Linked DNA regions of Mus musculus. The protein of the gene in region 3 interacts with the protein of the main gene of each other region in a pairwise test. Links are inferred from orthologs where the notes say so. Each region holds a gene or a part of one and is shown on either strand. Other genes may lie near its edges.

Evidence for each region.
Region 1: the proteins of Hoxa1 (region 3) and Chic2 interact in binary tests that used the Homo sapiens proteins (3 or more experiments, as listed by UniProt). The two-hybrid records come from large-scale screens. The link is inferred for Mus musculus from reciprocal best matches to the Homo sapiens genes HOXA1 and CHIC2.
Region 2: the proteins of Hoxa1 (region 3) and Slit1 interact in binary tests that used the Homo sapiens proteins (3 or more experiments, as listed by UniProt). The link is inferred for Mus musculus from reciprocal best matches to the Homo sapiens genes HOXA1 and SLIT1.

What each region holds. Positions count from the first base shown.
Region 1 is NC_000071.6:75,024,084-75,027,732, forward strand, and holds part of Chic2 (cysteine-rich hydrophobic domain-containing protein 2), read right to left. Parts: intron 3,333-3,649; coding exon 3,278-3,332; intron 3,141-3,277; coding exon 2,985-3,140; intron 1-2,984.
Region 2 is NC_000085.6:41,741,503-41,745,251, forward strand, and holds the start of Slit1 (slit homolog 1 protein precursor), read right to left. Parts: upstream 2,355-3,749; 5' UTR 1,907-2,354; coding exon 1,710-1,906; intron 1-1,709. UniProt on the Homo sapiens protein: Thought to act as molecular guidance cue in cellular migration, and function appears to be mediated by interaction with roundabout homolog receptors.
Region 3 is NC_000072.6:52,156,056-52,159,804, forward strand, and holds the start of Hoxa1 (homeobox protein Hox-A1), read right to left. Parts: upstream 2,263-3,749; 5' UTR 2,167-2,262; coding exon 1,512-2,166; intron 1,035-1,511; coding exon 679-1,034; 3' UTR 1-678. UniProt on the Homo sapiens protein: Sequence-specific transcription factor. Regulates multiple developmental processes including brainstem, inner and outer ear, abducens nerve and cardiovascular development and morphogenesis as well as cognition and behavior.

The DNA.
Region 1 (3,649 bases), on a different chromosome or scaffold from region 3:
AGATCCGACTGACTGGCTGCTTCTGCTCTAAGGGGGTCGTCACTTGGTTGGATTCTCCCTGAGTCTTGTTATGAGGAGAACAGATAGGTAAATGGGACATCCAGTGTGGATGGGCCTGGAGTATACTGTGGCCTTTGTCTTCTTTTATGACATCCTCCTTTCCTAGTTCTTAGTGAAGCCCTCGCAGCTTGCACATTACCAGAATGTTGTCATTGCAGTCACTGAACAGCATTTTCTCACATCTTCAAATACTTTCCAGTTCCTTATTTTAGTTGTTTGATATATAATTGGGGTTTTGTAATCTAAAATATTGATTAATGTAGTATTTAGAATAATTAAATGTTATACTAAAATAGTATTTATAGGCTCTAGCATTATTAGACTAGCAGAGTGGTCCATGACAATGAGGGTTGGAAATCCCTGCTATCTTGTCTCCCATCTTACAAAGGTGTTCTAGTACTCTCCATACATTCATGACATGGTACAGAGAAGTTATACTCAAGGCAGGAAATGTATAGAGAACTATAAGGTTTCACTTTTGTTTTTTAAATATAGCATCCACATATTAAAATCTCTTGTATTACTCATTTAAAAAGTAAAAGAAGGGAGGAAAGAGGGAGGGAGAAAGGGAGAAAGAGAGGGAGAGAGGGAGGGAGGGAGGGAGGGAGGGAGGGAAGGAGGGAGGGAGGGAAAAGATAAGATCAGATCTGAAAATCAAGGCCAGATCCAACAAACAAAGCCCACCACCGTAACCATATGACCTGGACAGCCACTCAGACAACAGCAAGGCCTGAAATGAGGAAGGCAGTGAGAGACAGAGCCTAAAGAAAATCAGAAAATACAACTGTGAATCCAAACACTGCCAGACAGTTTTTTTGTGGCCTAGAGGCAATCTGGCAAGAATTAGGGGGGTAAAAAAATCTCTAAGAAAGTAGGGCCAGCAAAAAAAAAAAAAAAAAAAACCCTTCCGCTGCACAAGCTCAATGACCTGAGATCCACCCGAAACCCACTCAACGGCAGAAGAGAACTGACTGCACAGTGTTGTCCCCTGGCCTTTAAACACTTCTGGCGGTACCTGCACCTCCCATGTTCAACACACAAATAATAAAATAGTTTATGAGAAATATAAGTATTTTAAATATTATAAAAAATAATATACAACTCTATTATGAAAGCATCATTTCCTTTCTAGCAATAAATCAGCTCAAAAATTTTCAGTAAAATATACCTCTAACTCTATAATAGAAGTCAAGTAACAAATTAAATGTGATTTCCTTCATTTCCTCGCCATTATCTAGCACAAAAATTAAATGTTTCCACAGAAAAACATTCAAGCCAAATTGGTTGACACCTGCCCCCCTCCTTTGGTTTTCCAGGCTGGCCTTAACTTACTATGTAGCAAATTCACAATCCTCCTGTCTCAGCCTGAGTGTTAGGATTTCATACCTGAGTTACCATACATGGCTGAATATTACATCAACTTCACACGTGTAAGTATAATAGTTAAGATAACAAAAACAATGGTGATGTGTTAGGCATGGTGGCCTGGAGCATTTGGGAGGCAGAGGCAGGCAGATCTCTTAGTTCAAGACTAACCTGAAGTGAGTTTCAAGCCAGTCAAATCCAAGGAGTAAAACAATGTCTTCAAAAACAAAACAAAACAAAAACCACCCAACCAACTTTTGATTTGTATCATTTTGGCATATCTATAACTAACATCTTGGAACTTTTTCATTATAAGCAATGAAAATTAGGTCTTCCAATGATTTTTCCTAATCAGAGTCAGTGTATATTCATTATAGAGAAACTGTAAAGTACAAAAATAAAATAACCCATATTATTTTCCTGTAAGCATTTTATCTCCTCCATGGGTACTCTCATAGTACTAGTAATAATATTAGTCACTCCTTATTGACAACTTCTGTTATGGGTTAGATTTGAAGGACTCCCTCCAAAAGCTTGTATGTTAGGGGATGGAGAGGTGAGTTGGGAGTACTGGCTGCTCTTGCAGAGAACCAGGACCACTAGCCTCTGTAACTACTTCCAGGAACTCTGACAGGATAGACCACAGAGACTCAGGTACTGAACGTGAGTGCACAGGAGACACTGACGTACACCAATGTCATTTAAAAGTAAGAGGAGAGCTGTGCGATAGCTCAGTTGACAGTAGAGCTTGGGAGACTGTGGACTGCAAGATGATCTGGATTACAAGGAATACAACCTACTCAACAGACTAAATCACTCATAGATTCCTAACATGAAGGCATATTGGAAAGTGGTTCAAATGTCTAGACATAGGATCTAGAGGAATGGGTAGGAAGGACTCTGTTCTCAGGGGCTACATCTTGTTCCAATCTCCTCCTTCCCTCTCTGACGCCTGATGACTATGAGGCATGCAGCTCTACTCAGCCATCATGATGGTTTTGCATGGTCAGGCACAGAAGTAATGGAGCCAGCGTAACAGTCCATGACTAAAATCTCTAAAACCATGAGCCAAAGTACACAGTTCTTCCTTTAAACTGTCTCTCTTATACTTAAAACAGCATTGAAGCTGACAGAATTTCTCATAAGCTGTTCAGCTAAGAGCTTTATAAATACTATTTTACTGTATCCTTACAACAATTCTATTCAAATCACAGGTGAATATTATTATTTTATAGCTGTATCAATCAGATTTAAAGAGGTTCAGAAGTATGTCCATGGGCACAGAAATATACAGTACCATTCTAGTCCATAATTAATGCATACAGACATAGGGCTGCACCTTTTGACTATAATTTCCTAATGTATAAAAATTATGACGACTGTTACACAGCTGTTTTATAATATTTGAATATATGATTTAATTAATCTTGCTTTACTATATCAGATTACTTCTATATAGCATTCAGAACAGTGTGGTTCATTAAACAGAAAAAAAAAAGGTAAAAGTAAGACTTGTTTCACACTTCTAAATGTAAATTAAAAGACATAATTCAACTTACTCTTTTACTGAGGCAAATAACTGGCCACATACTGCACCCTAACGTGCAGCAGCAGCACAGGCAGCCACAAAGCAACCACCGCACATTAACAGGAAGATTCTTCCTGAGACAGCTGTTAACTCTGTTGATGCTGGCTTTAAATTCTTCAGGAGCTACCTACAGGAAGGGAAGAAACGTAACACTGAGATGCTGAGTGACAATAAATGGGTCTCAGCACACATTTACTCATTTCTATGAGAAAATAATTTGAGATATAGAAACAGTAGATTAATAACAATAAGAGAGACACTCACTTTTCCAGTTAATGAAGAAGGGAATTCTGATTCAAATTTGTTGCTCAGTCCAAATCTGTTTTCAAAAAGGAAAAAATATGTTATTATATGTCACTGTGCCAACATCACAGATGCTTAAACTATCTAACTTAAAGGTGGTGTGAACAGAACATGGATCCCTCAGAGAGTGTCGGAGACAGAGTGAAGGTCTAAGATACCTTTTGTAAGTTGCTCATTAAGATAATCACAATGAGCAACTTACAAAATTAGCATAGAAAGAGTTTCCCAGTAGAACCAAAACTTTTATAGAATGATGAAGCATGAAGCACAATGTTAAATAACCAACAGTATGTAAGTAAAAAAGACGGTTTATTTCATGAGCTACCACAGTAT
Region 2 (3,749 bases), on a different chromosome or scaffold from region 3:
CCATCTCACTGACTAGAAAAGACTAAAGAATTCATGAAAGGCAAAGCAGAGCCTATCAGAAGCAGTCAAGGTAGTAGGACAGTGGGAAAGCAAGAATGCAGAGTAGACAAGGTGCAAAAGCAAAGGAGAGGGCCTCATGTGTCTCCTGTGTGGGCTGCTGCCAGGGTAATAGCCCAGAAAAAACACACCACTGGGTAAAGCAGGGGACAGAAATTTCATCCGGAAAGAACAGGCCAAGGTGACCTCAGAGGTCCTCCAAACAGACTTGATTGTCCTTAATTTCTCTCTAGGTCCATGAGGCTGACTCAAGGAAACTCAGTTCGGTCACCCCAATTTCTACATGGGTGCGTGCACACACACACACACACACACACACACACACACACACACACACGCCAGTTCCCAACTAGATTGCATGCAGATTGCAAATTCTCTGAAACTGTCACGGGAATGTCTCAAACCCAGCCAAGAAAGAGTCTGGGGCAAGCATGTACTCACTAATTGCTGGCCTCGGTACAGAAGTTCAGAGTTTGATGTAGGCAACAGCTCTCCCCGGGGTTTGCCTCTGGCCAGCTGAGACTCATGAAAGTATGCTCCTGAGTTATCAAAATATGTATACCTTTTCTGACGCTCACTGTAGTCACCCAGGAGTGTGGAAAGAAAGAGGAGCATGGTTTCAAAGAAGCCACTAACCTTCCCCAAAGTATCAAAAAAAAAAAAAAATCCCCTGGTACAGTCACCTCTGAAAGTGTACAAAGGCCCTGTGTGTGACTAAAAATCCACTCGCACGACCCGCAGACCCCCCGGACTCACACTGCCGTGGTATCCTTAGGTGCCGGAATTTCACACCGACCACATTTGGCAGGAAAAGAGAAAATGTATCACACACGCTCCACCGTGCTCATGAGGCAGGTCTGGAAAGGGTGGAGTTACCTCAAAATCCAGAAGTACAAGAGAACAAGAGGGAAGGAAGGGTGGTTTTTATGACTTGTCACTGTCAATGTCTCCAACCTTATGTCCCAGTCCGAGCTCCTGGCCTCTAGTATCATCCCTGAGCTCGCAGTCCAGGACTCCTCTCACCCTGTAAGGGTTCCGATGTCATATTCCCCAAAACCCAAACCAAAGGCCCTCGGGTCCCATTGTCTGTCTGCCTGGGCTCAGGATGAAGACTGAAGGAGAGGGTAGGTTGCTTACACCTTCAAGGGAAGACTTATCCAGGCTCTGGGACCAAACAATGGGTAGAATAGGTGCTCAGAAACTTCTGGTCCGTGGCAGCGAGCCCTCAGAGCCCAAATCCACCTGCCCACTCAGAACCCAGCAAACCCCATGTGTCCAAAAGGAGACACCGTGCCTGGAGTCTGTGGGAAGCTGTTCTCCTAGGTGCCAGGAAGGCTCCAGGTACCCTAGAGGAATAAAGTGCTGTACAGTGGGAAGGACCTGTCACAGCGGAGAGCAGAGATCGCAAGGGGCAGGTGTGAGGAAGGGCTGAGGATGCTTCCAGGGCCCTTTGAATCTGGCACCTGCAAATGCGCTCCTGGTTTCTGGTTTCCTAAAAACCTACCAAGGCACTGACTCCTCTACTGGCGACGGAGCCCAACGGTCTAGCGCCCCCCACCCGATTCCGGTCCCTCTGATCCGTCAGGGTGGGAGAGCAACCAGGGGTCGAGGGGGTGGAGGGACTCCCAGTGGACGGGCGGATCCGTACTCACAGGCGCTCGGTGTTCCGTGGGATGTTCTTGGGGATGGCCTGCAAACCCGTGCCGTGGCAGTCCACCGTAGTGCCGGTGCAGGTGCAGAGGGCGGGGCACGCCGTGGCCCCCAGGCGCCACGCGGCTGCCCACAGCAGCAGCCACAGCTCCGGTCGGCTCAACCCCGAAGAGGACCCGCGCTGGGGCGTTAGCGCCATGGTGCCTTCGCCGTGTCCCGTTCGCGTGCCAGACGGCCGCAGCCGCTGACCATCCCCGTCCGGGGCTAGCTCCAGGTGCTATCCCCACCGAAGGACCGAAGAGCCGGTGGAATCGTGCGATGCGCCCTTGCGGATCGAGTGGTACCTAGATGCTCCCAGCGACAGCGTCTGTGCGTAGACCCAGGAAAGGCGTCTTAAGCGGAGGGCGCTCAGCTCCTCTCCCAGTGCTCGCTGCCGGCGTCTCCCTCTCCCTCCAGCTCCCAACTGACTGCTGTGAGGAGGAAAATGGGCAGGCCCCGCGCGCGCGCACACACACACACCTCGCGCGCGCGCGCACACACACACACACACATACACACTCACACCCGCACGCTCGCTCACACCCGGCAGTCATCCATCAATCGAAAAGCACACTTCCAGGGCCAGACTCCTTCCCGCCCTCCCCCCCAAGCACGGACCACCGCCCGCCTCCTCCCCACCACTTCTCTGCTGCTACAGAGGTCCAGCCGCTGGCATACAGTTTCAAAGGTGCAACCTCCCAGGCGCCAAGGGCTGCGGGGGCCCGGGGAAGGGGGCTTACAGACTGGACCTGCTCTGTAAGCTACACACACACACACACACACACACACACACACTGCAATGATGTGTACATTTAGACCAGTCACTTCAGTACCCTCAGCTACTAGGGCAGAGGAGCAAAAAGATTTTTTTTCCCTACACCTTCCCTTCCCTGGGACCACAGACTTCCCCAATGGCTGAAGAGGTCACCGGGCCCCACCAACTTCCTTTGTCAACTGTTGGTGAGGCTTCTTGTACCAGATGGCCTCTCCAAGCTGTCTTTCCTTGCCCAGCCTGGGACCTTGAGGGAAGAGACTTGAGAGAATATAAAAGCCTCAGGCCAGGTTAGTCTTCTCCCTCAACACATACTCTCCCTAAAGGCAGAACCCAACCTCTTCCGGGAACAGAAGCCAGCCAGCTGGGATGACAGGAGTCCTGACAGGACTTTGTAAGTCCGGAGGGGAGGTGTTTTCTACACAAGCCTCTCTACTGGTATACCAATAGGAAGCCACCTTGGAAATCCAGCAACTAGCCTCTCCACATCTGGCAGGTGGAAACAGAAGAAAAGGAATATTTGGTCCTCTCAAAAGGCCAGAGTGGAGAGAACACAGAACCTGTTTAGAAGAAAAAAACACCACCCAGTCAACTGGTACCTGAATAGGACCTCGGGCCTCACAGCCCCATGGGCAAGGAATTTTCTTATTCTGACAGAGTTGGGGATGTGGGTGTGAATAGGAAATCCAGTGAGGGACAGAATTCCCTCCAACCCCAGAAAAGAAAGCACCTCCCCCAAAACGGACAGCTGTGGCTCTCTGGGTCTCTAAAGAGCTGAGCTCCGGATGTGAGGGAGATCTGGCTGAGACATCTGTCATCCCATTGATCAACAGGGTTGATCTGGTGATCTGAGTGTCACTGTGGGTGTCCCCTTCCTCCTATTCCACACCATGTGCATCCCTTCCAAAGCTTTGCACTCAAAGAGAAGGACTTCCCCCCCCCCCCCCCCCCCCCCGATAAAGATGGCTCTGTCGAGCATTCCTCTGTTGGAAACTCCACGCAAGCTTTGGAGTTCGTGTTGAGCTGAGCTCCGGGAGTCAGGGCCCTATGTGCAGATAACAACTGGGCATCAGAAGTAGCTCAGATGGTCAAGAGTCAAAAGCCCCCCTAGTGGAGCTACTGCAGGGTCCCCCTTCTTGGGGGGAGGGGGGAGCAGAACCTAAGCCCAGCAATGACGGCAGTTTGTCACAGTGGTGAGATACTGAAGTCACCACACGATTAGAGGCGTGGG
Region 3 (3,749 bases):
AACTTCTGAGGCATCTGACTCTGTTTGAATGAAAGAGGTTTTCTTCTTTCGCCCATAATCACACATGAACTGTACCAGTTTTGAGAATTTGTCCACCCTGTTTGATTTAGTGACCTACATATTTCTATAAAATGTGTATAAAGATAAATCTCTGACGGGAAAGCATTTACAACCAGCAAACTCACACACATGAAACCAGCTAAGTTAGGGGGTGAATTAATTGTGTAAACACAGTGCATCTCTTCTTCATGAGTCTTTGGACACTCTCTCTCCTCTATGTCCTACTTAAGGGCTAGGTGGAGAAGAACAATACATAGATAAAAGGAGAGATGCCTCCTTCCTGCAAATGTCTGATGGCAAAGGGAACTAACTGTTCTCCAGCCGACATCTAAAAGGAATCATAGGTTGTGGGGAGAAAAAAATCTCACAACAGTGAAGGAAAGGATGTTGGGAGCCATCAGCAATTGATGTGGACACCCGATGTGGATGAAGGAGTTAACTTCCAACCAAGGCTCCAGAATTCTCTGGAAATACCTTATCTTGGCCAGGAGCTCCCCAGATGGGACGAGAAAGGAAGAGAGAGTCTGTAAAGAAAGGAAGATAAGCTAAGAATGTGCTTTGGGTAAGAAATCCCAGCCCAGGGAGAAGCCTGGGCTGCAGAGTTGGGCTGGAGTAGCCTCAGTGGGAGGTAGTCAGAGTGTCTGAGGTAGACGATGCCGGAGAAGGGGCACTGGGCGAGGGGCTAGATTTCTCAGATGATTCTTCCGTTTTCTCATCGCTGCCAGGAGGAGTGGCAGGGGAGATGGGCAGGAGCCCCTCCTTCTCACGCTTCTTCTGCTTCATGCGGCGATTCTGGAACCAGATCTTCACCTGGGTCTCATTGAGCTGTAGGGACGCGGCAATCTCCACCCTGCGCGCTCGTGTAAGGTACTTGTTGAAGTGGAACTCCTTCTCCAGCTCTGTGAGCTGCTTGGTGGTGAAATTGGTGCGCACTGCGTTGGGTTGACCCACGTAGCCGTACTCTCCAACTTTCCCTAGGGTAGGGGAGGAAGAGAGAAAAGATTAAAAAAAAAATCTTAAACCTTTATCCAGATTGCCCCAAGCTTGAGGCAATATTCGGTTAACTACTCAGCGAGCACAAACCCTATCGGGAAGCGCCAGTGACGATGTGTAAGCAGTGTTAACCTGAAGTCAACCATTAGTGTGATCAGGCTCGTGATTAATGGAGCCTTGTAGATATTAACAGGACATCACCATCACCACCATCACCACCATCACCACCTCCCACTCCCCGCACACTATCTAACTATAGACCATTTAAACCTCAGCCCCTGTGAAACGCTTTTGCCTCTGCACACCTGGGCACCCTACACCACTCACTACAACTCTAGATGACATTAGACATAAACAAGAACCAATCTTTTAAAAATCATTCATTTTCCTAGGAAACTAGGTGTGCCAGCCCCTTTCAAAAATCGAACAGCATTTGTCTGTCAGCCGGCAGGACTTACCTGTTTTGGGAGGGTTTCTTTTAACTTTCATCCAGTCAAAGGTCTGCGCTGGAGAAGACGTCTCTGAAGCAGGGGAACGACAGGCTTCTTGGTGGCTGGCGTGGAGAGGGGATAAGGAGTTATTATACGTGGCCAGGGCCAGAGTCTGCTGCTCTTGTCCATATGAGTGGTGAATGTACTGGGGCGAGCCCACTGTGCCCCCAGCATAACCCTGGTGGTGGTGGTGATGCTGGACCATGGGAGTCGAGAGGTTTCCAGAGTAAACAGCGGGAGCGCACGGGGGGTACCCACCACTTACGTCTGCTTCCTGATTTAATCCATAGGGGCCATAAGGCGCACTGAAGTTCTGCGCGCCATAGCTTGGACCACAACTCGAGTGGGAATAAGAAATCCCAAGGTTTCCAGAAGTCTGGTAAGTAGCCGTCTGGGGGTGGTGATGGTGGTGGTGGTGGTGGTGGTGGTGGGGCGAGCTGATCTGCACCCCCCTGCCCACTAGGAAGCGGTCGTCGCCGCCGCAGCTGTTGGCACTGACCGCGCAGGATTGGAAAGTTGTAATCCCATGGTCAGAGGGGTAAGCTCGCGCCGAGCAGGTCCCAGAGTCGCCACTGCCAAGGATGGGGTATTCCAGAAAGGAGTTCATTCTTGCATTGTCCATCTGTCACTGAGTGATTGGATCCTGCGAAGCCCTGGGTGACCGTGCCAACTTTCTCACTTCCTCCATAGGACCAGAGAAGAAAAATGATATGAATGTACAGTGCGCAAGAGGCGGGGCGGGCAGGCGGAGGGCTCGAGGGGAGGACACGTGACTCTACCAGCCAATGGCTGAGCCGCCTGCGAAAGTTTACCGGCTGCGGCCGTGATGGATCACCGTTTCAGTGGCATTTAAATCCCCGGCGCTCCTCAGTGTAGGTGACGCGCGCTCGCCCCCCCAGGCAGCCCGGGCCGCGGCGGTAGCAGCGGCCGCTCCCGGAGCTGACTTGGAGCACTGGGACCAAAGGGAGTCGAGACTGCCTTCTGCGCGCGCCCGGCTTTGCGCGCCTCCGCCACCAGATGTGGGGGGATGGGAGGCCCCCTCCGCGGCCCCTTCCCCACCCAGCCCAGAAAGCTGAACTGGCAAGAGGTGAGAGGGGATGAGGCCTCCTGGCTCTCTTGTGGCGGGCATCTTGTGGGCCGAAAATCTCTGCGTGGTCGCAAGGACCCTGGCGGAGCTGGGAGCACGCGGGGTGGGAAGGGTGGGAATCCAACAGACACCACGCCCTCAGCTCGGGGCGGCCGCCACTACCCAACCCCTGCAAGAGACCTGAGCCCGGAATCCCGGCGCCTAGGGCGAGGTTGCGTCACTGGCTCGCCAGCCTCGGAATGTAGAGGGACGTGCGCAGAGGATTGACTGGGAGGAACCATGGTGAATGTGCTGGGGACCAAAGCAAGAAAAGAAACTTCTGTCCTCATCCAAAGGGTCTTAGAGCCCTCTTCCCTGATTCCTGCCGGCCAATAGCATGGCAATGGGAGCTTCTGTAATTCGACCCCAGGGTCCCGGGATTCGGGGGTGGGGGTGGGGGTGGGGGGGGCTACGAACCCAGCTCTCTGGGAAAGGCCGGGTGTCCACTCTCTTCTCTGCCCTCTCTCCTTCTCTGTCGCTTTGCTCTTGGTAGCCCTGCAAAATCGGGGCAACTCTGCTACTGGAGTTTAAGGAGTAGAAGGCAAAGGAGATTGTTGACGCCAGCAGACGTGGCTGACTGGCGTGAGGGCCGAGCCTGAGCTGCAGGCCATCTGCCAACTCTTAGAGACCCAGGAGCATGCTCACTCTAGGGTAGGCCTCAGAAGGGCAGATAACAGGCAACTCCTAAAAAGTATGCAGACCTCCCCCGTCGAGTTTCTCTCTTCCAGGAGAGGCAAGTTAGGAGTGGAAGAGCCCCCCCTTCCCACCATCCCCTATTGCCTGTGTGGACTGGGGCATGGGGGGTGTTGAGGACCGGCAGGTGGGAGGGACAGATGACTGAGTGGATGGGACCCTTTCCAACGGGCTTGTGTGAACCTGCAGGTCACTCCCCAGAGAGACACGTGCAGATGTGAGCATCATCCCAGGACAGGGGTCCTGTTTCCCATCAACCTTGTCCTGCAATGATGCTGATGGTGTCAGTAATTGCTGTTTACTATTAGATGTCACGTCAACTCTAAGCTTGGAGAAAGAAAAGGCCAAACAGAGATGAGAATGGACATAGTCTTAAGGAGGAGAAA